Linked DNA regions of Arabidopsis thaliana. The protein of the gene in region 3 interacts with the protein of the main gene of each other region in a pairwise test. Each region holds a gene or a part of one and is shown on either strand. Other genes may lie near its edges.

Region 1 (7,478 bases), on a different chromosome or scaffold from region 3:
CCTTTTGTATATAAATTGGTTCCAGCTGTTGCTCTTCTTGTTTTCTCCCTGTGGGGTCTAGTGCCTTTTGCTCGCCAAGGAAGAAACATACTACTCAATGTAGGTGCAGCCATTTCAAGTTTATATGCACTTTTTTTTTGTTTACTGCTTTCATTTCTGTGTTGTCTCAGTTCAAATCAATGTGGTATCTTTTCTATATGAGATTCTGAATCTTTACCTTTGAATCATTGTAGAAGAATGATAACGGTTGGAAGAAGAGTGGTACGTACCATGTTATGACTTCATATGTTCAACCTCTGTTACTATGGTTAGGAGCTCTATTCATCTGCAGGTATATCTATCAAGTAGTTCCTCGGGACTTTCTGAGATTTAATTGTTGAGATATTTTGGTGGTATCCTCATCTGAAGTGCTTGGTTGAGATAATTGATTGCTGGTGACTATTCCTTATATAGGGCATTAGATCCTGTTGTCCTTCCTACAGAAGCTAGCAAAATTGTGAAGGATCGACTGTTGAATTTTGTGAGGTCATTGTCAACGGTACTTGCATTTGCTTACTGCTTATCCAGGTAAGAGTATTGTCTAATTTAAATACAAGACTTCGTCTTCATCTTATGTTTCTGTATTTTAGTGGCTTCTATCACGTGAAATTGCTATGTGGCCATCTCATGACTTCTGATTCTTTGATGTTCCCATGCAGTCTTATCCAACAAACACAAAAGCTATTCTCAGAAACGAGTAATCCGAGCGATACAAGAAATGTATGTAAAGTGACACTCATAAAAAGTGCTTTAATAATACATTTTGTAGAGTTATTATTCTTAGGATGTTTGGTCTATTTTGCATATCTGTCTACGCAAGATCAGAAATCTCTATCAACAATATAATTGGCTTCTCAATTTGTTTTGCTAATTTGCCCCTGGAATGGTACAGATGGGATTTCAATTTGCTGGGAAAGCATTGTATTCTGCTGTATGGGTTGCTGCTGTATCACTTTTCATGGAGTTGCTGGGTTTCTCTACACAAAAATGGCTCACTGCTGGAGGTCTTGGGACAGTTTTGATTACTCTTGCTGGCCGAGAGGTGAAACCTAATTCTCATTTTAATTACTGGTTTCTTCGGAATATCCACTGTTAGCTTTAGACGTTCCTTTTCCTGTTTTATGCTAAAGATATTTCATAAAAACTGAGTTTTTTTTTGTTTTTTGGTTCCAGATTTTGACAAACTTTCTTTCAAGTGTTATGATTCATGCAACCCGGCCATTTGTTTTGAATGAGTGGATTCAAACAAAGATAGAAGGTTATGAAGTGTCTGGTACTGTGGAGGTTAGAATCTCTGAGCTTAGATGATGTGAATTTTTTCCTAGCTTCGGTGCACGTCATTGCCATACCTGAACGTTTCCTTAAAATTAGCTAGCTATCTTTCTGAATTGCTTGTTGCAATGCATTTACAGCATGTTGGTTGGTGGTCACCAACAATCATAAGAGGTGAAGACCGCGAGGCAATTCACATCCCAAACCATAAGTTCACAGTTAATGTCGTGAGAAACCTTACTCAGAAAACTCATTGGCGTATTAAAACTCACCTAGCAATCAGTCACTTGGATGTCAACAAAATAAATGTGAGTTTTCTAATTCCCATATGGTCGTTAACTCTTTATACAAGTTAAGGTCCAATCATGGAGTTTTTTTAGCTGATCCTTGTTTGGAACTTCCTCAAACAGAATATTGTAGCTGACATGCGGAAAGTGTTGGCCAAGAATCCTATGGTTGAGCAGCAGAGGTTACATAGAAGGGTATTCTTGGAGAATGTCATTCCAGAAAATCAGGCCCTCTCGGTTAGACTTCAATACCTATCTCTTCTTTTGCACCCATCTTCAGATATTTCAGGCAGCTTTGGAAGGTCTGGTTCTTACATCTGGTTCTCGTTTTTACAGATACTGATCTCTTGCTTTGTGAAGACGTCTCATCACGAAGAATATTTGGGTGTAAAGGTAATTTTTCAGTCTTTTATCTTATCATCTACTTAAAGTTCACAAGAACTATTGACTTATTTGCTTTCGTTTTCTTGTATTGGTGAAACAGGAAGCTATATTGTTGGACCTTCTTAGAGTCATAAGCCACCACCGAGCTCGTCTAGCTACACCAATCCGTACAATCCGTAAGATGTACACAGAGACTGACGTGGAAAACACACCATTTGGGGAATCGATGTACGGAGGTGTTACTTCTCGGCGGCCTTTGATGCTAATTGAACCCGCTTACAAAATCAATGGAGAAGACAAATCAAAATCTCAAAACCGTGCAGCAAAACCAACCGCAGAGCAAGAAAACAAGGGCTCGAATCCAAAGTCAAAAGAAACGTCTTCTCCTGATCTAAAGGCGAATGTGAAAGTTGGAGAATCCCCTGTTTCTGATACCAACAAAGTACCTGAAGAAACAGTAGCAAAGCCAGTAATCAAAGCGGTCTCAAAACCGCCCACCCCAAAGGATACAGAAACATCAGGAACTGAGAAACCAAAGGCCAAGAGAAGTGGTGGCACAATAAAATCAACAAAGACAGATGAAACAGATAGTTCAACATCATCAGCGTCTAGATCAACTTTAGAAGAGAATATAGTACTGGGTGTTGCACTAGAAGGCTCAAAGAGAACACTTCCAATCGAAGAAGAGATACATTCTCCTCCCATGGAAACAGATGCTAAAGAACTCACGGGAGCTCGCAGATCCGGTGGAAATGGACCATTGGTGGCTGATAAGGAACAGAAAGATAGCCAATCACAACCAAACTCAGGTGCTTCAACCGAGCCGTGAGATGAAATTCAATGAGTTAGCTATTTTTTTATAACACTCTTTGATGTAATATACGATTGAAATTAATTGAATTTACCCTCCCAAAATTCTGGAAGTTGGGGGTTGATAATGTCGTATATTAAATATAGGGGTGGTTTATTGATAGTTGGGTGAAAGTATGGGTTTAAATCATAAATATCAGAAGAAGACGGTTGAGAAGTAGCTTACCTGTCTCTAGTCATGATGTAATTCATAAATGCTCCTCTCCTCCGATCTCTCCGCCATAAAATCTACTCTTTCTTCTTCTGGGTGTTCAAAGAATTAGTCGTTCTCGCGTATTCACTTTCCATGGCGGGCTTTCTCTCCGTTGTCCGGCGCGTGTACCTCACTCTCTACAATTGGATCGTCTTTGCTGGATGGCAAGTCGAGCTCGACTCTCTTTCTTCTTTTGTCTAGTGGAGTTTTTATTTTTCTCTCGGATTGATTTTTGAATTTTGGTGACATTTGGGGTATTAGGGCTCAGGTTTTGTACTTAGCGATAACGACGTTGAAGGAAACGGGTTATGAGAATGTCTATGACGCCATTGAGAAGCCTCTCCAGCTTGCTCAGACTGCCGCCGTTCTCGAGGTCCGTCTCTCGTGACACAATTCGTGTTTTATTTCTTCTTGTTTTGTTGCATTTCCCGGGTAATTAGAGAAGAAGAAGAATGATTTGGTTCACACTTGTTGCAACTGAGTATTTGTTTTTTTTTTCTTTCCTCTGATTAAAATCTGGATTTTGGAATTTTCCGGGTGTGGAGCAGATTCTTCATGGATTAGTAGGTGAGTGATCTGATCCATTAGACTAATTTCGAACTTGCACTACACCATTTTGATTAAACTCTTTTTAAGATCATTGACTGAGTTGTGTTCTGCTGTGTTGCTAAACTCGAATAGGTTTGGTCAGATCTCCTGTTTCTGCAACTCTGCCACAGATAGGTTCAAGGCTATTTCTCACTTGGGGCATCCTATACAGTTTTCCAGAGGTTAACTTAGAAAGTTACCAGCATTACTAGTTCATTATTTCTCTTTGATTGTTGCAAGTTTCATCATTTGATTGTTGAACTTTGTTTCATTTAATTTCAGGTCCGATCTCATTTTCTTGTTACGTCGCTGGTCATAAGCTGGTCTATCACAGAGGTGATTATATCTAGTCTCTGTGTTGATTTTGGTAGCCATTGATATCGCTCTTACTAGGAGACATTTATTAGATTCGTTGTATGCCATAAATCTGAAATGTCTAAAACATTGCTTCTCTTACTGATGCTTTGAAAGTTTCCTATCACAACATGGATTGTTGAAGTACAGAACAAGAGATTAGCTGTTAATATTTCGAACAGTCAAGATTTGACTTAAGTATGACTCCTTAATTACTCCATTTTGGTTGAAGTCTTATCCTAGTAGCGTCCTTTTAGGATAACGTGCTTCAGTTCATATGTTTGATGAATAACTCGCTCTGAGCGCAGATTATTCGCTACTCATTCTTCGGCTTTAAGGAAGCTCTAGGCTTTGCACCTTCATGGCACTTGTGGCTCAGGTATGCCATTCATGTGCAATATAATAATAGACATTGAAAAACAGATTAATTTGCAACTCTAATCTCATTTATTTCTCTCTCGTTAATCTGTTCAGATACAGCAGCTTTTTATTGCTATACCCTACCGGTATCACCAGCGAAGTTGGTCTTATCTACCTTGCCTTACCACACATCAAGGTAACACAACTGGCTCATGTCAATTCCTTAAACAGAGAACAATTCTTTCCTTTACAATATCATTTCTTTACGGGTTGTTACACCCTTTTGTGTATTAGAATTTAGAGCTCTTAGAGTAGACATGAACTGTTAAAGCCATTTCCCTCAGACTCTAGTAGACAGGATCTGTTTGTTGACTTTCAAGACGTCACTGTAAAATAATCCATATATAGACTTAACTTTAATGCCATCTATAAAGTTTCAGATTTTCTGTTCCACTGGTATCAGGGGAGAGTATATATATGGTTGATTCCTGAATGGTCCCTTTGCTCTTTTTTTTTCTTTTTCTTTTGTCTGCAGACATCGGAGATGTACAGCGTTAGGATGCCTAACATATTGAACTTCTCATTTGACTTCTTCTATGCAACGATACTCGTCCTTGCAATCTATGTCCCAGGCACAAACTCAGTCAACCTTTCTTATAACATATCCCATACATCTGTTCAATTCTGATCTGCGAGACTAAATTTGTATTTGGCTGTTGCAGGTAGCCCACACATGTACAGGTACATGCTTGGTCAGCGAAAGAGAGCTCTCTCCAAATCCAAGAGGGAATAAAAGAAAAGATTTAGAAAGAGACGAAAAAGCTCATCAACTGTTTTCTCCTCTTGTCTTGTTCGTTCATGTACTACTAGTCTACTACTACAACTTGTCTTTTGTTTAGCTTGTTTGAGCTTTTACTTCCTCGGCGATTACTTGAACTTACATGCAGCAGGATACTATTAAGTGTAATGTGGTTTCTAAATTAATAAGAAAATCATTGGTTCCTTCTCAGTAGAAATGAAAAAGTTGATTTAAGCTAAAATTTCCCAAAAAGTCGAAATGGATTCTTAATAATATTTATGAAATTGAAAAAAAATCAAGAAAATTGTGAAATTATTGGGTCATATCGTCTTATCATGGTTTAAATATTTAAATGCTTTTGAGATGATCACGAGTCAAATTTACTTTGCCCAAAATAACTATCAAAACTTGTTTTTTTGTGATATATAAAAGTCAACGTAGTTCGTTAGTGAGAGATTTATCATGGAACACGATAAGGCGTCGTGAAGTAACGCAGATCACAAAATATTTGTGTCTGAAAAGGCATCGGCGTTGTCTATTTTCTTAAATATAAAAATTGAAATAAATATAAACGTCGTCGTTTGGAATCAATCAAAAGGACCTTCTCCGCCTTTCATTATTTTGTATACCAAACCGAGGGAAAAATCCACAGAGATGAACCAAAAATAAAAACAAAAATCTTTGATTATTTCTACAAAAATAAAATTCGAAAACTTTTGAATTCTTTCATTTGGCTTTCGAAGCTGCTGCTTCAATTCTTGCTGCTTTGATTTGATTTTTTTTTTGGATGAAATGGCCGATCAGAGAAGTAAAACCAATAGATGGAACTGGGAGGTGAGTGGGTTCGAACCGAGGAAGTCTTCTTCCAATGCATCGTTTGCGGAGAGTACTGGTCACCGTACGACTGGTCCTCTGCTTCGCCGGAACTCGATTTCGACTCCCTCGCTTCCGCCTAAGCAAGCAATTGCATCTAAGGTTAACGGATTAAAGGAGAAAGTTAAGGTGATAAATTTCACTTCCTTTTTCACTTCACAGAGTATACTTGGCTTTTGGTTTTGAGCTGAATTAATTTTATAAAAGGCTGCTTTTAGTTTCTTAAGTCTAGCTTGTGGGATTTGATGGAAGTTTTTAGTGTTGAAGCCATTACTTATCAAGAAAAAAAATTGTGACTTGGTTGAACAGCTTGCGAAAGAAGATTACTTGGAGTTGAGACAAGAAGCTACTGATCTTCAGGAGTATTCTAATGCTAAGCTTGACAGGGTTACACGTTACTTAGGTGTTTTGGCTGAGAAAAGTCGTAAATTGGGTAAGTTTTGTGTTTCACTAGTCGTAAATTTGAAGTCTATGTAAGTTGTGTGCAAGCATCGAGAAAAACTGAGTATTCATTACATTTGGTGCATTTGTGACCACTGGAGAAGTTAACAACACTAGAATTGGTTGGCATTTTCCCAAAATTGAAACCTTTATTGGAAACTTCATAAATCCATCTACTGTATCTAGCTCTCGTGGTTGCGTTTATTTATCTGTTTTGTGGTGGAAATTTGGTAGTGTGTTGTATTGATTTATCTACGTAAACCACCACAGATCAGTTTGTCCTTGAGACTGAGGCTAGGATATCTCCACTTATCAATGAGAAGAAAAGACTGTTCAATGACTTGTTAACGGCCAAAGGTACACAGCTTCCATAACCAGTATCATCGATCTTTCTATATCGATAATCTTTCTTTGGTATAGGTTCACTGATGTATGATAGTTCTCTGCTACCTGTTGGTTAATGTGGATTTGTTTTTCGTACTTCAGGGAACATAAAGGTATTTTGCCGTGCAAGGCCATTGTTTGAGGATGAAGGTCCCTCTGTTATAGAGTTCCCTGGGGATTGCACCATATGTGTAAACACTAGTGATGATACTCTGTCCAATCCCAAGAAGGACTTTGAATTTGACCGAGTTTACGGACCTCATGTTGGACAAGGTGAGTACCATAGTTCATTGTAAAATGTAGTCTCTCCTTATGTCATGAGCTGTTTCTGGTTTCAATCTACAAAAGCTGCAACAATACGACCTCTGTACTTATACTGTAATTTTTGCTCAGCTGCACTGTTTAGCGATGTCCAACCTTTTGTTCAATCTGCACTGGATGGATCTAACGTCTCCATATTGTCATATGGACAAACTAATGCAGGGAAGACATACACCATGGTAACCATTCTTTTCATTTTCCTCTGAAAGTTAACAAATAGGTCACATGTTGATGTTGTGAAGCAACTATATAGATGGACTTGCTGTTACTTTCTAGTGTCTAGCTTTGCTTGTATGTGAGAATTTAACATAGC
Region 2 (7,522 bases), on a different chromosome or scaffold from region 3:
AAAAATTAAAAAGATTTTGAGTGAATAAAGAAACAAATAAAGGTGAATTGGTAGTGGGGTGGTCTTTGGTGGAGTTGTCACAATCGAGTGTACCTTTGTTTTCCTCGGTATGACCCAAGTAAAGTTTCGTTTTGCATAGTATTATAGTTATAATTATCGCCATTGTGGCTTTTGTCATGAAAAAATAAATTACCTTTGCATGGCGAGATTTTTTATCCCGAAAGTTCAGTCTAAGAATGATGTAAAATTCCTCTGTTAAGAAAAAAATGCCTTTAACAAAATAAAGAATTCGATGTTGAAGAAGAAGAATATATATATTTTGGTGCTAATTTGCAGCACAAGATATAAAAATTAGAAAGTATAAGCCAAAAAATCAAATCATGATTCGACAAGGTTGTTTTTAATTCTTTCGTGATTCTTGATGTTATACCCCTAATATAACTTACCGATAACATTGAATTAGTGAAAAATATTTCGAATTATGATCACCAGTCTCTATATTATATTTGATGATTTTATGGTTACGAATGTGAGGGGTACGTAAGATTAGTAAAGACGGACATGTTGTAGGAAGGTGTCCCAGTCCGCGATTTCTAAAAGAAAGATTTGTGGTCCAAACGTAAAATTTAATCAGACCTTCTTTTTAATGGACCTCACTATGTCGACACACAACATCAAACATATCCCTAACTATATAGTTCATAATCAAGATGTTTTTTACCAGAAAAATATAACATCAAACATGTCTCTCTCTAATCATTATATTTATAAGTTTTTCGTATCAGACTAAGAAAGTATATATCAACCTGAGACAAAATGATCCGGTAAGAAGAACTTCAATTTAGATGACAAAACTTCCAATTAATTTGAATTACTTAGAAAGGGATGAAGTTGAGACACAAAGAAAGAATATAATAGATATATTGCCTTAGCTTGTAATTCACAGTTTAGTTGTTTCAAAGAGCAATATCATTGGAATTTCGTAGTAACCAATATATATTGTGGTTATATATTTGTGGGGAGTGTGTATATGTATTTGATATGTTGATATTTTTCTTCAAAAGACAGATGATAGAGCTAAAACGATTTTTTGTCGATATGTTGCGCTTCGAAGTAGCTGAACCTGAGTGATAATGTCTTCATCTATTGGACAAGTAGGGAAGAAGCTAGCTCGCCGTATGCAAATACATAAAGTTCCATGTTTCACTTCTTCTAGGGGTGAATAGACGAGGACACACGATACAGTTTGTCATGTTAATCTTTCAAGCTCAAAAAATATAAAAATTGTATGAAAATCTGATACGGTAAATCTATATATTCTTTTGCATGTTTTTAAAGGAGCACTTATCTTTATTTGTTATAGAAATTTATTATTTAAAAGAAATTCGTCTTTATAGAAATGTGCATGTGTTTTTTTTATTAGTAACACATTTTCATGCAACAGGAATCTTCGCTTATCTGTAGTGTACATCTCATGAGCCCATATTCATAGTTGTAAAGCAACACCTTCTCTGCAGCTTTTTCTTTCCTATTGTTTTTTGTATCCATAGTTCACATCTACACACTATATAAGGCTATTACAAACAATGATACAATATATGTTCTCATATAATTTGATCTTAATTTTCAAGATATTTAAGGTGGGAAAATATCGAGATAGTATACAATGGAAATCGTTACCACGTGCATGCCAATCTTTAGTAGAAGAAGATTCCTAGATTCCAACAAGAACATGCGCATTTTTTCACGAAAGGCTGGAAAGTTTAATATATAATGGTCGAAAAAATAGGCATAATCTATTTAAGTACTAGCTTAAGTGTTTTACGCTAGATCTGGTGTTGACACTTGTACACCTGGTTTTAAAGTTGCAGAGAAAACTAGATTAATGCTCAAATTGTAGTAAGTAGATTGGATAATTTACACTCGGAAAAAACAAGTTTTTTCAGAAGAATTAGACTGTTGCTCACTTGAGAAAAATCTAGCTAGCTTTGTTAATTGAGGATAGTTAGTTATAGTATTTGAATGACATTAAGGTGTTTGAATATCGCATGAATTGTCGCCTTGGTATTTGGGCAATTACCGGTCATTATTTTGATCTTTGTGATGTCAACTAATCGATCCCAACCATATATATCATAAACTACTGTCTCTTAATTGATCCATTGTGTTTTTAATTTTATCATTACTTTTTTTAACTAGTTGAGAGAATGATTATCTAACCCCTTTCATATTCAGAAAACTTAGGTTTTGAGTTTTTGCTTTATTTGCTGCTCTCTTGAATTAATAGAGCTCTCGTATGCGATTGACTTTGGGTGATTTTTTTTTGTTGGAAAAGCAAATTTCATTGACCAATATAACTAAACTAACACACTACTTCCATGTGGTTAAGGGCCGGGATCATTTATTATTTGCATCTTTTATACGACAATGACAAGGATTCGTTCTCATTACTCCATCCCATTTTGTGGTATGTAAAATCCTAACTTTTTTACTGCATTGATACAACATTTTATTTTAGCATTAGATCAATACGATGGACATATGTCATCAAGTGAGGGGGTAGAAGTTTGCAACTAATGTTTTTGTGCTCATGAATCAATCTCTTCTAGGTAACATTATTTCACTCTTTTCTATAGCGAATACTGCAATGCTTTTACGTTTTAACTAAACATGACTAAACCAAATACCAAAAAAAAAACGAGTAACACTTTGGTGGTTCCTATCTAAGTTGACCGGATCACTCGATTTGATAAAAAAAATTATAGTAAAAGTTTTTGTTTTTGAATACAAATTATATATTTGACTAAAATTCGAAACTTAACCGAAACTAAAACCTTAGCAGATAATCTATAGTATAGTAGATTCATAAACCGAAAAAACAAAAATCTAAACCTAAACTGAGTAATTACTAATGGTGGATCCTTAAAACAAAGCCATAATTTGCAATTGCAACAAATGTTTTTGTTTGGAGTAAAAACCAAAAAAAAAATGATGGGGAGCAACTAAAAATGTAAAATGGTCCCAATCTAATCGCATAAGTTGGGAAGATAGTTAGTAGTTCTCCTACTCCCAACTACATCCTCTTCAATGCTCAATCTCGTCTTCTTCTTCCTCTCTATTTAATTTCCCTTGTCTCTCTATCTCTCTCAATTTCCTCATCTGGGTCTTCCTCGTTTGCTCCGCTTAAGCACCATGAAGGTCACCGTCGTCTCCCGCAGCGGCAGAGAAGTCCTCAAAGCTCCCCTTGACCTCCCCGATTCGGTACTTTCTCGTTTCTTATGATACTCTCTTCTCCGATCTGCTTCTTCTTCTGATTCGTGGGTTTGTTTCCAAAATGTGATTGAAGGTTTTTGTTCTTTAGTTTGGTCCCTCAATGTAGGGAAAGTTGCATGCTTTATGATTTTTGGGTTGTTGATTTCGATTTCGTGTGTTTTGTGCTTCGCAGGCGACTGTTGCTGATCTGCAAGAAGCGTTTCATAAGAGAGGTAAAGTTTCCAAAGTTTTCATTTTTACTTGAAATTTGACTTGTCGAATGTTGGTATAGATCTCACCTGAGTGTGTAAGCTTAAGCTAGTGTTTATGTGTTTGAGTTCTCCTTATACCATTTGATGCTTATGGGGTTATATAATCAAGATCTGTGTGGAAGCTTAAGGAGTATTTAGATTTGATAATGTTTTCTGCTGATAAGGATCACTTAAGCTTCTAAACACAGTTTTGGATTTGAATTAATCATCACAACCTTTTGTCATTTATGGATCAGTCCCTTTTTAGCTTTAATAAAGGTTCACTTTAGATTGTCCATCAATGGCAATTATCTGAAATCATCTTACTATACAGTACAATGTATATTCTGTATGTATTATATTTATCTCGTTCATTCAAATCTTAGTTTGATTTTCTCTCAGTAGGTATTAAACTGTTTGATTTGGGTTTTGTTGTTTCAACAGCTAAGAAGTTTTACCCGTCGAGGCAAAGACTGACTCTTCCCGTGACTCCTGGATCGAAGGACAAACCTGTTGTCCTCAATAGCAAGAAATCACTGAAGGAGTACTGTGATGGAAACAACAACTCCTTAACTGTAGTCTTCAAAGACCTGGGGGCACAAGTTTCCTACCGCACACTCTTCTTCTTCGAGTATCTTGGCCCTCTCCTTATCTACCCTGTCTTTTACTACTTCCCTGTTTACAAGTTTCTTGGTTATGGAGAGGACTGTGTGATCCATCCGGTCCAGACGTACGCTATGTACTACTGGTGCTTTCACTACTTCAAACGGATCTTAGAAACGTTTTTCGTACATCGGTTCAGCCACGCAACCTCCCCAATCGGGAATGTGTTCAGGAACTGTGCTTATTACTGGAGCTTTGGTGCTTACATTGCTTATTACGTCAACCATCCCTTGTACACTCCAGTTAGTGACCTTCAGATGAAGATTGGTTTCGGGTTTGGTTTGGTTTGCCAAGTCGCAAACTTTTACTGTCACATATTGCTGAAGAATCTGAGGGACCCCAGTGGGGCTGGAGGCTACCAGATTCCACGCGGTTTCCTCTTCAACATTGTTACATGTGCCAATTACACTACCGAGATTTACCAATGGCTAGGATTCAACATCGCTACTCAGACCATTGCAGGATATGTTTTCCTCGCTGTTGCTGCTCTAATCATGACTAATTGGGCTCTTGGAAAGCACAGCCGTCTGAGAAAGGTAAACATAGCGGTCTCACGATATGATTTTAGCGGAACTGAAAATTCTCAAATAATGTTCTTATTGTGGATTGTTTGATATTGGTATTGCAGATATTTGATGGAAAAGATGGAAAGCCAAAGTATCCAAGAAGATGGGTGATACTTCCTCCATTCCTTTAGAAGCCATTGTTGCTTATCAGTAAAAGCTCTTAATAAAGCTGAAAATGAGACTTTCTTTGGGTTCTCTGTATCGTTTCCTTTTTTGTTCGGTCTATGTATTGGTTATAACATGTTTATTCCTTTTGTTTCAATATGTTTTGATTTTTGAAGTTAGAGAGATTTAGAAATGTACTTGTGTAGTTGTTTCTCACGCAAACCAATTCCTCTTTATGTATCGCATACATGAGTCAATAATAAATATGATTACTAGTAACATAAATCAGTCTATGCGGCATTCTATAATGACAATTGCAATGAGTTTAGACGTCGATGAAACATACAAGTTGTATAAATTAAAAATAACATTCATAAGATACACATTTTTGTTTGTCCCATAAAAGAATATGTCAATAGATCAAATCAAACGATAAAATGTTATGCTAAACAAAATTACCAGAAGGAAAAAGAAGCAAATGAAGCTTTCATAGAAAGACCACAAGAACCGGGAGAGAGTAATCAAGCTGATGAATTTTTTCCACACAGTTGGTCAGAGAGTTCATCTCTCAAGACCGATGAAGCCTCATCGGCAAGCTTGCAGCTTCGTTGTCTGTAGTTCATGTCATGTTGCTGAGACAAAGGTTGGTCATCCAAAGTTTGATCCTCCATATCGATAATAATGTTGTGCAGCAAGCAACAGACAAAGATTATCCTTGGTAACCGGTTTCTATCAGGCATCCACATTACCCCGTTTATTATCCTCCACCTGTCTTTAAGCTTCGATAGTGCCATCTGCGCGGCTTTTGTTGCCTCGGAGTGTCTTTTGTTGAACTCGGTTTGAGGAAGCGACGTGGGTTTGCCTTGGTATGGAGTGAGAAGCCATGGAAGAAGAGGAAAACCTGAATCACCTACTATGTATTCTCTTAGCTCGGTTCTTTCTGAGAGCGGTAACTTTTCCCCGTTCAGTCTCTTCCCTTTCTCAACTAGTTTGTAGAATCCTGAGTTCTTGAGGACAACATCATCATTTAAACTCCCAGGCCAACCAGCTATTACATCGAGGAATCTCATGTCCGGGTCTACTACGGCCTGCAAAGTCATGCTGAAGTTCTTTTCTCCGTCCAACCAAACTTTGTTTGACGGTTCCACAGCAGGAAGGTTCATAACAATATGTGTAATGTCGATAGCGCCACAGCAGTTAGGAAGACCTGAGATTTTCTCAAACTTTGATTTTATTTCATCGAGTTTCGAAGGCCATGAGAGATGGTGTATTGCTCTCTCTTCCATTGATTCAACAAAGCGCCAAGTGATTTGGGAGACTGTTGACTGGTTCATCCCAAAGGTCTCTCCAATGACAGAGAGAGATTCACCAGAGCCAAGCCTCCTAAGCGCCACAGCTACACGGTCATTGAGAGATAAAGGGTTCCCATTTGAGTCGCTGAAATTTGCAGGCTTTGCTGTGAAATCGGCTTTCACAAGAGAGCAAATGTAGTCAAATGTCTTCCTTGATATTTTGAAAACTGACTCAAATGTCTTTGGATCCGTTGACCCTCCTGAAAAAGGAGATGAAAAGAAAAAACATGACATTCTCATAGTAACTACAAAATCAACAATGTATCCAAGATCAAGCTTACTGCTCTTTAGTACAAAGACACATTCATTGTAATGAAGTCAGTGTAAAAGAACCATGCAGATCCATAACTGTTTAAATCACATTATATATCAGCTCATACAACATTGGACTAGCTTAAATCCAACACTCGGAAAGCTAAAAGAAGAGTGCAAAAGCAGAAGAGCTAATGACCTATCAATTGATTATCATCGACCTACAAGCGCATTTACACAGGGAGAGACAACGGGAAGAGGGGCAAAAAATGTCTTATCATAATCAGAACATCACTGAAAGAGACATGGAAAACATCTGGCTGACTCTTCACAAAGAGAGTTAATAATGTCATCATCAGAAAGCAATGAGAACTTTTACAAAACAAAATTAACTTGCCAAATTGGAAAAAGAAACTAAGACTAGTCAAAGTCTGCTAATCCCAAATTGGTTCTAAAGAATCATATCATTTAAACCAAAATCGAAAACAGGAAAAAAAAAACATGCTCAAAGTTATCTAGATGAGTCTAAATGGCTCGAAACTGAGCCCCTAGAGCCTTAAGAACAACTTCATCTACACAAAAACCACTTCCATGGATCCATATAGCTCACTTAAGTTAGCCACGACACAACTAGAATCGAATAAGAACTCACAAACCCCCAAAACTACGAATCAATAGATCGAAACAATACTCCAATGTACAGAGTAAGATTAAAGGACATCTCTTGTCTACATTACTAAATTCAATCTGAAACTTTTTCACCTAGAAAACCCAAATAAAAATCAACATTCAGAATTGCAAGTTCCATGAAACAGAATCAACAATTAGATTCAAAAAACAAAAACTCTGCCAATGCAAAAATCACCACCAACAAGAAAGGTAGGAAAAAAAAAGAGATACCATAAATACGGCGAGAGAATCCATCCCACCAATCCAAAGACTGAGATGATGAGTCGTCGTCGTCGTCGTTGTTATTAAGAGCAGCGGCGGCGGATGCGGAAGTAGCAGCAGCAGTAGCAGCAAGCAATACGTTCCGATCAACCTTCTTCTCTGCTCTCTTCTTCTTCTTTATCGTTTTGAT
Region 3 (7,394 bases):
CCCCAAAGCCAGAGCCAAAAACCAACCAAGGAACTTGAATTTCCTGGAACCAGACTGTTTTGGAACTTGACTTGTTGTTTCTTCAACGCTCTCACAAACCATTTCTTCATCACTCTCTGCTTCTGATTGCTCCACATCTTCGGTTTCTTCTTCTACTACCACCTCCTCAGCTCCATCCTTCTCTTGTTCCTCAGATTCTTCTACAGACAATTCAGTGTCATCAGAAGAGCTTTCAGAGATGAAAAGTTCCTCAAGCTGCTTACACTCATCAAAACGCTTCTCGATTCTTGGATTCGGCTTATAATGAAGAAACTGAGGCCTCGGCGACAGAAAATTCTTCTTGGGATCATAAGGAGGCAACAATGTATCAACTTCACAAGCTGCAAACTCAGGAGATGTATATGGAACAGAAGGACGAGGACTAATCCTAAACCTCGGATCAGAATACGTAATCCCTTTGTTCTCATAAACTTCCTTCTCATCAAAATCAGTCACAGTCATGTCATGTGATTCCACAAACTTCTTCTCATCATCGATACAAATAGTATGCAAGACATCCGAAAACGAAACACATGACTTAGCTCGGTGATGATTTCTTTTGTTATCATCCTCCAAGATTAGACCTTTAACATCAGAGAAGGAGCGAGACATTTCGTTTTTATCAGACAACACTCTCTTCCTTGGTGACGCATTGATTTTAGAAACTGCTGAAATTGTTGGTGACATGAAGTTCTTGGAACCTTTTGGAGTTAGTTGAACAGGTTTGGTCTCGTTCTCTTTATCTCCACCAAAAGAGTTCCTCCTAGTCAAATCTAAAGAAACACAAACATCACAACACCTCAAATAATCAAAAATCATATCAAAGAATCTGAACTTAATCTACAATAATCAATGATTAGCCAAGAGAATGTACTATTCCGCGAAGACTAAGTTAAACCCTAATCTAAAAATCAAAACTTTGAGGAACTGAGCAAAACCCTAATCTAAAAATCAAAACTTTGAGGGATTGAGAAAGACTCTAACCTGAGGGGATGTTGACTTTTGAATTCGCCGGAAAAGGGTTGCCACCAAAACTCCGGCGTAACGGATCACCGGCTTCTGAGTTTCTAGGTTTAGGGTTTGGTCTGTTAGGGATTGGAGGAGAAAAGGAGGGATTTTTGTTGGTAGGAGAAGCCATGAGTGATTAAAAGTGTTCGGAATTGTTTGATTTGGTAACAAATCTGAGATCTTTTTGTTAGTTAAAGGAAACAATGAAACAAGAAATTTGAAGATCAAGAAAAAGCCCTGAAGATGGAGAGAGTTTGAGATAGAAATTGTAACGGCTACTTGTAAATTTTGGAAAGATAGATCTGAGGATTTAAATGACGGCTACTGTATATTTTCGACCGTTGGGATGAAATATTAAAAGGTTGTTTCAAAAATTGTAGGATCTAATCTGATTCATGAATACTACTAAAGCTTTTATTAGAGATATACGTAATTCATTTGATAATTAAATTGAATTAAAAAGGATTTGAGCCTGGAGGTGGACCAAGTAAAAAAAAGGGGTTATTAATTATTTTATACGTAATCATTTTTAGCTCTTTTTTTTTTTTAATAATGCAAAAGTTTGTTATTTTTTTATCATTTGGTTCACCACTCAAATATAGTATAAGGTTTTGGGAGAATAACCAGTGTTTGAAATAACAAGGTTAAAAGCGATAAATGGAGAAATATGATAATTAACGATAGTTTTATGATAGTTCAGAAGCAATGGTTATAAGATACAATGCTACATGCGAAAAGATGGTAAATCGAAAACACAACTATCAGGTTCGTCTCTACCCCATCGTAGATTAGACAAAGGCTATGTGTTAACTACTAAACTATAGACAATCTCACGAGTGAAAAATTTGTCTTTGTTGAAAGACATGATGATGGTAAAGAAGAATATGTAACCTCAAATTTTGCCGGTACAAGACACATTACAAATTGTTTGTACTTATGCCGAAAACTTGAAAATGTTCTTCATAAAAAAAATTTCTTCTAATAAGGACTAAGTTTTTTCAGCCATGTTCGAAATTGATACTTGTACTTCCAAATTAAAGATGTCGATATATAACTTGATTGGTGTCATCTGCCTTTCAAGTCATAGTAGTGATGCATCATAATATATGGAATAGACCATGCATCGTCAAAGACCTCACCGATAAGATGCGACTGAAGTCCAAAAATTGAAATATTTACTTTATCTTTATCTATAAATATTTTGAGATCGCTTTTAGAAAAATATAATTTACTTTGTTGTCGAATTAGTAGTTTCACTTTACTTCGCATTGATTATAACTCAAATATTATATTTTACAAAATAAAAACAAAATCATTTTCAATATTTTTAACTTTTTTATTTTCTAAATCTTGTAAAATTTTAAATATACATTCAATATTCTGGATATTTATATTCTATATCTAAAAACAATCTTTTTTTTTCGAAAAAAAATCTAAAAACAATCAAAAACAAATTGTGAAATAAATGAGCTACATTTTCGAAAAGATTATTTTTAATCCTACACTATACAATCCTTAGAAGACTATTCCACCAGAAATCACATAAATTCAGTGTGTCAAGTCTTTTTAATACCATTTATTAACATTTCCCTACTTGCTTCCTACTTCGACTTGACCCCCTAACCAAATGCCAGCCTTCTCTCCTTTAATTGTAACATCCAAAATCACATATTTACAGAGCATGTCGATCATAATGCTTGAGGTATGGATAATCGCGAATAAAGTCACATATGGGTACATGAGAGCATGAATATGGAGATACATGACTGGTTTTGTGCGCATCATATGATGTTAACTGTATGAAATATGTTATCTAATTGTATTGGTCAATTTGAAAGTGTTAATTGGTTGGTTATCGTGTTAACACTCGTTACTCATGTTTTCTTTTGTAATGGAAGTGAGGAACAATGTATGGTGCAGGTGAAACTTAAGTGATCGTCGACATATACATTGTTTCGATTATGATTTAGGAGATTCCAACTTTGATAAAATGGCATTTTAGCGTTATTAAATTATTGGTTAAATTTTATTGGAGTTTCAGTTCTTATTCAAGTTGCATTTAACCTTTTTTGAAGTATCACCTGTTTTCATACAAAACAAGCCATGGAGACGGATTTATATATTCTGATTATATAAAGAAATAATAGGAGATTATTTAAATAATATATATTTGGTTGATTTATTGAGATTTATCTTTTATGTGTTCATACTTCAGACGCATATATGACTCATATCTAAAAATAATTTCTACTTGCATTATCCGATTCTTTCTGTTGCTTTGTAATGGCAGAGCTATCCATAAAGCTCTGCTTTGATTTTCATTACTTTTTTCAGTTGTTACCTATACTCTATATACATATTTGCTTGATCAATCAATTTCACATTCAAAAATAATATAAAAAACTTCTACTTTCCTTCAAACAAAAATGTAGTTTAATAGCACACCACACATTCAAATGAACAAAATAAATATGATTGGGCCATTATAGAACCGCAGTCTTTAGAAGACTATTCCACACCAACAACACTCACATTAAAGTAAATGCAGACATATGCTAAATCCTTTTGATACCACATAAGATTTCGTTGGCAAATTTATTAACATTTCCTACTTGATTCGACTTGACCTCCTAACCAAATGCCAGCTTTATCTCCTTAAATTGTAACCTCCCCAAAATCACACATTTTTATTTTACCCTAAATTAAAACTGTATACCTTTTTGGCTGCTATTTATACACAATCACACAATTAAAAAGATCAAATAAACAAAATAATAATATTCCAAATAATAACAAAACAAAAACACTTTTGGTTTTTTCTTCTTCTTCTCTCTAAATCATAAAAACACAAGTTTTCGACAGATCAACTGTTTTCTTCATTACGTGTTCTTCAATGGCGTCACTTCACTGATTCTATTCCTATCAAACCCACTTACCCATTCCCTTTTATATGCACAAATTCTCATAAAGTTTTCAATTTTATTCCATTTTTCTCGGAAGCCATGGAAGCTGCTAATGAGCCTGTTAATGGCGGATCCGTACAGATCCGAACAGAGAACAACGAAAGACGAAAGCTTCCTAATTTCTTACAAAGCGTCAACATGAAATACGTCAAGCTAGGTTATCATTACCTCATTACTCATCTCTTCAAGCTCTGTTTGGTTCCATTAATGGCGGTTTTAGTCACAGAGATCTCTCGATTAACAACAGACGATCTTTACCAGATTTGGCTTCATCTCCAATACAATCTCGTTGCTTTCATCTTTCTCTCTGCTTTAGCTATCTTTGGCTCCACCGTTTACATCATGAGTCGTCCCAGATCTGTTTATCTCGTTGATTACTCTTGTTATCTTCCTCCGGAGAGTCTTCAGGTTAAGTATCAGAAGTTTATGGATCATTCTAAGTTGATTGAAGATTTCAATGAGTCATCTTTAGAGTTTCAGAGGAAGATTCTTGAACGTTCTGGTTTAGGAGAAGAGACTTATCTCCCTGAAGCTTTACATTGTATCCCTCCGAGGCCTACGATGATGGCGGCTCGTGAGGAATCTGAGCAGGTAATGTTTGGTGCTCTTGATAAGCTTTTCGAGAATACCAAGATTAACCCTAGGGATATTGGTGTGTTGGTTGTGAATTGTAGCTTGTTTAATCCTACACCTTCGTTGTCAGCTATGATTGTTAACAAGTATAAGCTTAGAGGGAATGTTAAGAGTTTTAACCTTGGTGGAATGGGGTGTAGTGCTGGTGTTATCTCTATCGATTTAGCTAAAGATATGTTGCAAGTTCATAGGAATACTTATGCTGTTGTGGTTAGTACTGAGAACATTACTCAGAATTGGTATTTTGGGAATAAGAAGGCTATGTTGATTCCGAATTGTTTGTTTCGTGTTGGTGGTTCGGCGATTTTGTTGTCGAACAAGGGGAAAGATCGTAGACGGTCTAAGTATAAGCTTGTTCATACCGTTAGGACTCATAAAGGAGCTGTTGAGAAGGCTTTCAACTGTGTTTACCAAGAGCAAGATGATAATGGGAAGACCGGGGTTTCGTTGTCGAAAGATCTTATGGCTATAGCTGGGGAAGCTCTTAAGGCGAATATCACTACTTTAGGTCCTTTGGTTCTTCCTATAAGTGAGCAGATTCTGTTTTTCATGACTTTGGTTACGAAGAAACTGTTTAACTCGAAGCTGAAGCCGTATATTCCGGATTTCAAGCTTGCGTTTGATCATTTCTGTATCCATGCTGGTGGTAGAGCTGTGATTGATGAGCTTGAGAAGAATCTGCAGCTTTCGCAGACTCATGTCGAGGCATCCAGAATGACACTGCACAGATTTGGAAACACTTCTTCGAGCTCGATTTGGTATGAACTGGCTTACATAGAGGCTAAAGGTAGGATGAAGAAAGGAAACCGGGTTTGGCAGATTGCTTTTGGAAGTGGGTTTAAGTGTAACAGTGCAGTTTGGGTGGCTCTAAACAATGTCAAGCCTTCGGTTAGTAGTCCGTGGGAACACTGCATCGACCGATATCCGGTTAAGCTCGACTTCTGATTTAATGAAAAACCATTTGTTTGGTTAGTCCTAGTCTTACTAGACTCTGCCTTGTTTATTTTTCTTCTTTTCTGGTTAAGCTCTTGTACTCTTAATGTGACGCTTCTTGATTATTACTCTCGCGTTTTATTCTATGGCATCTTTATCCATATTAAAGATTGGTTCGTTATTATAATCATCTCAAATCAAAATTGACAATGAAACAAAGTAATATTTTGAGAATAAATAAAAAAGCAAGGGTAAAAGCTCTTTGACAACTGTAGATTGATCTCGATCTCAAATGACATATCATTAGGACTTGATTTGTATCCAAGCAAAGGGAATCTTACAAAAGTAACCTGACAGGCGATTATTTGCTGGCAATCTTGAGATCCAAATGTGTGTTTTGGGTGTCTTTATCTCCAAGTTGGCGATTTTGATACGATCCAAACACAAAGTATCTTGGTTCATATCATCAACATTACTACGTAAGGTTCTCTACTATTTAGTCATAACGGGTTTAAGTCCAGGGGACAAGCCCATCCCGGTCCGCAATGGTGCGGGTATGGACATAAAATTTTAGGCTTGTTAAGAAGCAGGCCTCGCAAAGCCATGGCGGACTGCGGGGTTTAGTGGGGATTTTTCCACGGATTGGCTGGTAATATATATATTACTAATATATGTATATTTACATAATTGTGAAAATGTGATAATGTATAAAAACAGTTATATTTACAAAAATTATTTAAAATTTAAAGTTTTCATTTTTTTTCCTAAAAATATAGTTCAGTAAGAAATAAGGATCTCACTCCAAACATTATGACATAATGATTGGGGCTTTTGTTCAAATGGGTACATTTAAGCCCAATAACTAGTGAGAAGGCACATCCATTATGGGTTTATAAGGATGGGAACTTTATGGCTATTGAGATGACGTTTTTGCCCTCAATTTTGTTGTTGACAAACCAAAAACCACTTCATCGTCTTCTCCGTAGCGTGACAGAGTTCTTGCTTTTTCACGCACTTGCTTTATCAACACTGAATCCACACTCCATCAACATCAATAGTTTCATATTCATCAATATTTTTTTCCTTGCCTCCAACAATTCACAAACTTTTCTTCCACCAATCTAATCCAAAATCTAATGAATCAAATTAAACGAGTCTTGTTTAAAGGAATCTAAACCCTAAGTGATAGTGCCTAAGAAACCCTAAGTGATAGACACAAATCGGAACAATTAATCTCAAATTCATCAAAATCCTAAACTAAAGGGGAAATCACTTTTCATTGAAGTTTCGGAAAAGTAATGGTCTTCGGTTTGTAACATGGGAGATTAAAAGGGGAAATCATTTCAAAGGATGTTGGGTTTGGGCTTCAAACTGCAGTTTTAATTTAAGTTTCGGAATCGGATCGGAGATACATGAAACGCTTGGCCGGAGTTTCCAACGAGAAGAAATAAAATTATAGGATTAATAATTAGCAGAGATGGTGTTGTTCATCTAAGGAAATCACAAATCCAGAGCCGTGTAAGCTTTCCTCCGTCTCCTCTTTATTGATTTCAGAGCCATGTAAGCCCTCCGCCGTGTAAACGCCGGCGAGAAACGCAAGGTAAGAGAAGACATCACGGTCGACGAATTGAAGTAGATTGAACTGGTTTAGGTGATTAAGGACAATGATGTCTTTTTAACTGAATGAAAATGCCTATTCCTATTAACACATTGAGAAGGTCTGTTTGAAACAAAGGCATAGAGAAAAAAAGGAGTTTTTCATAATTGATCCCATAATGATTGGTTTAAACTAAAAGAAGTGACTACAAGGGTTCAACC

What was found.
Region 1: the proteins of KCS9 (region 3) and PAS2 interact in a two-hybrid assay, tested with the Arabidopsis thaliana proteins (one study listed by BioGRID).
Region 2: the proteins of KCS9 (region 3) and CER10 interact in a two-hybrid assay, tested with the Arabidopsis thaliana proteins (one study listed by BioGRID).

The regions. Positions count from the first base shown.
Region 1 is NC_003076.8:3,295,709-3,303,186, reverse strand, and holds PAS2 (Protein-tyrosine phosphatase-like, PTPLA), read left to right. Parts: upstream 1-3,035; 5' UTR 3,036-3,138; coding exon 3,139-3,209; intron 3,210-3,306; coding exon 3,307-3,418; intron 3,419-3,593; coding exon 3,594-3,612; intron 3,613-3,726; coding exon 3,727-3,815; intron 3,816-3,915; coding exon 3,916-3,969; intron 3,970-4,104; coding exon 4,105-4,131; intron 4,132-4,295; coding exon 4,296-4,366; intron 4,367-4,461; coding exon 4,462-4,543; intron 4,544-4,882; coding exon 4,883-4,979; intron 4,980-5,069; coding exon 5,070-5,140; 3' UTR 5,141-5,381; downstream 5,382-7,478. Other genes in the region: MSL2 (MSCS-like 2), read left to right, coding at 1-99, 234-331, 454-567, 699-759, 932-1,081, 1,213-1,323, 1,452-1,619, 1,722-1,835 and 2 more; KAC1 (kinesin like protein for actin based chloroplast movement 1), read left to right, coding at 5,939-6,148, 6,329-6,452, 6,731-6,817, 6,947-7,117, 7,238-7,344. UniProt on the Arabidopsis thaliana protein: Catalyzes the third of the four reactions of the long-chain fatty acids elongation cycle. This endoplasmic reticulum-bound enzymatic process, allows the addition of two carbons to the chain of long- and very long-chain fatty acids/VLCFAs per cycle.
Region 2 is NC_003074.8:20,518,527-20,526,048, reverse strand, and holds CER10 (3-oxo-5-alpha-steroid 4-dehydrogenase family protein), read left to right. Parts: upstream 1-2,950; 5' UTR 2,951-3,192; coding exon 3,193-3,261; intron 3,262-3,445; coding exon 3,446-3,485; intron 3,486-3,947; coding exon 3,948-4,702; intron 4,703-4,794; coding exon 4,795-4,863; 3' UTR 4,864-5,119; downstream 5,120-7,522. Other genes in the region: AT3G55350 (PIF / Ping-Pong family of plant transposase), read right to left, coding at 5,359-6,389, 7,342-7,522.
Region 3 is NC_003071.7:7,047,137-7,054,530, forward strand, and holds KCS9 (3-ketoacyl-CoA synthase 9), read left to right. Parts: upstream 1-3,662; 5' UTR 3,663-4,049; coding exon 4,050-5,588; 3' UTR 5,589-5,815; downstream 5,816-7,394. Other genes in the region: AT2G16270 (uncharacterized protein), read right to left, coding at 1-812, 1,024-1,177. UniProt on the Arabidopsis thaliana protein: Involved in the elongation of C22 to C24 fatty acids, which are precursors for the biosynthesis of cuticular waxes, aliphatic suberins, and membrane lipids, including sphingolipids and phospholipids.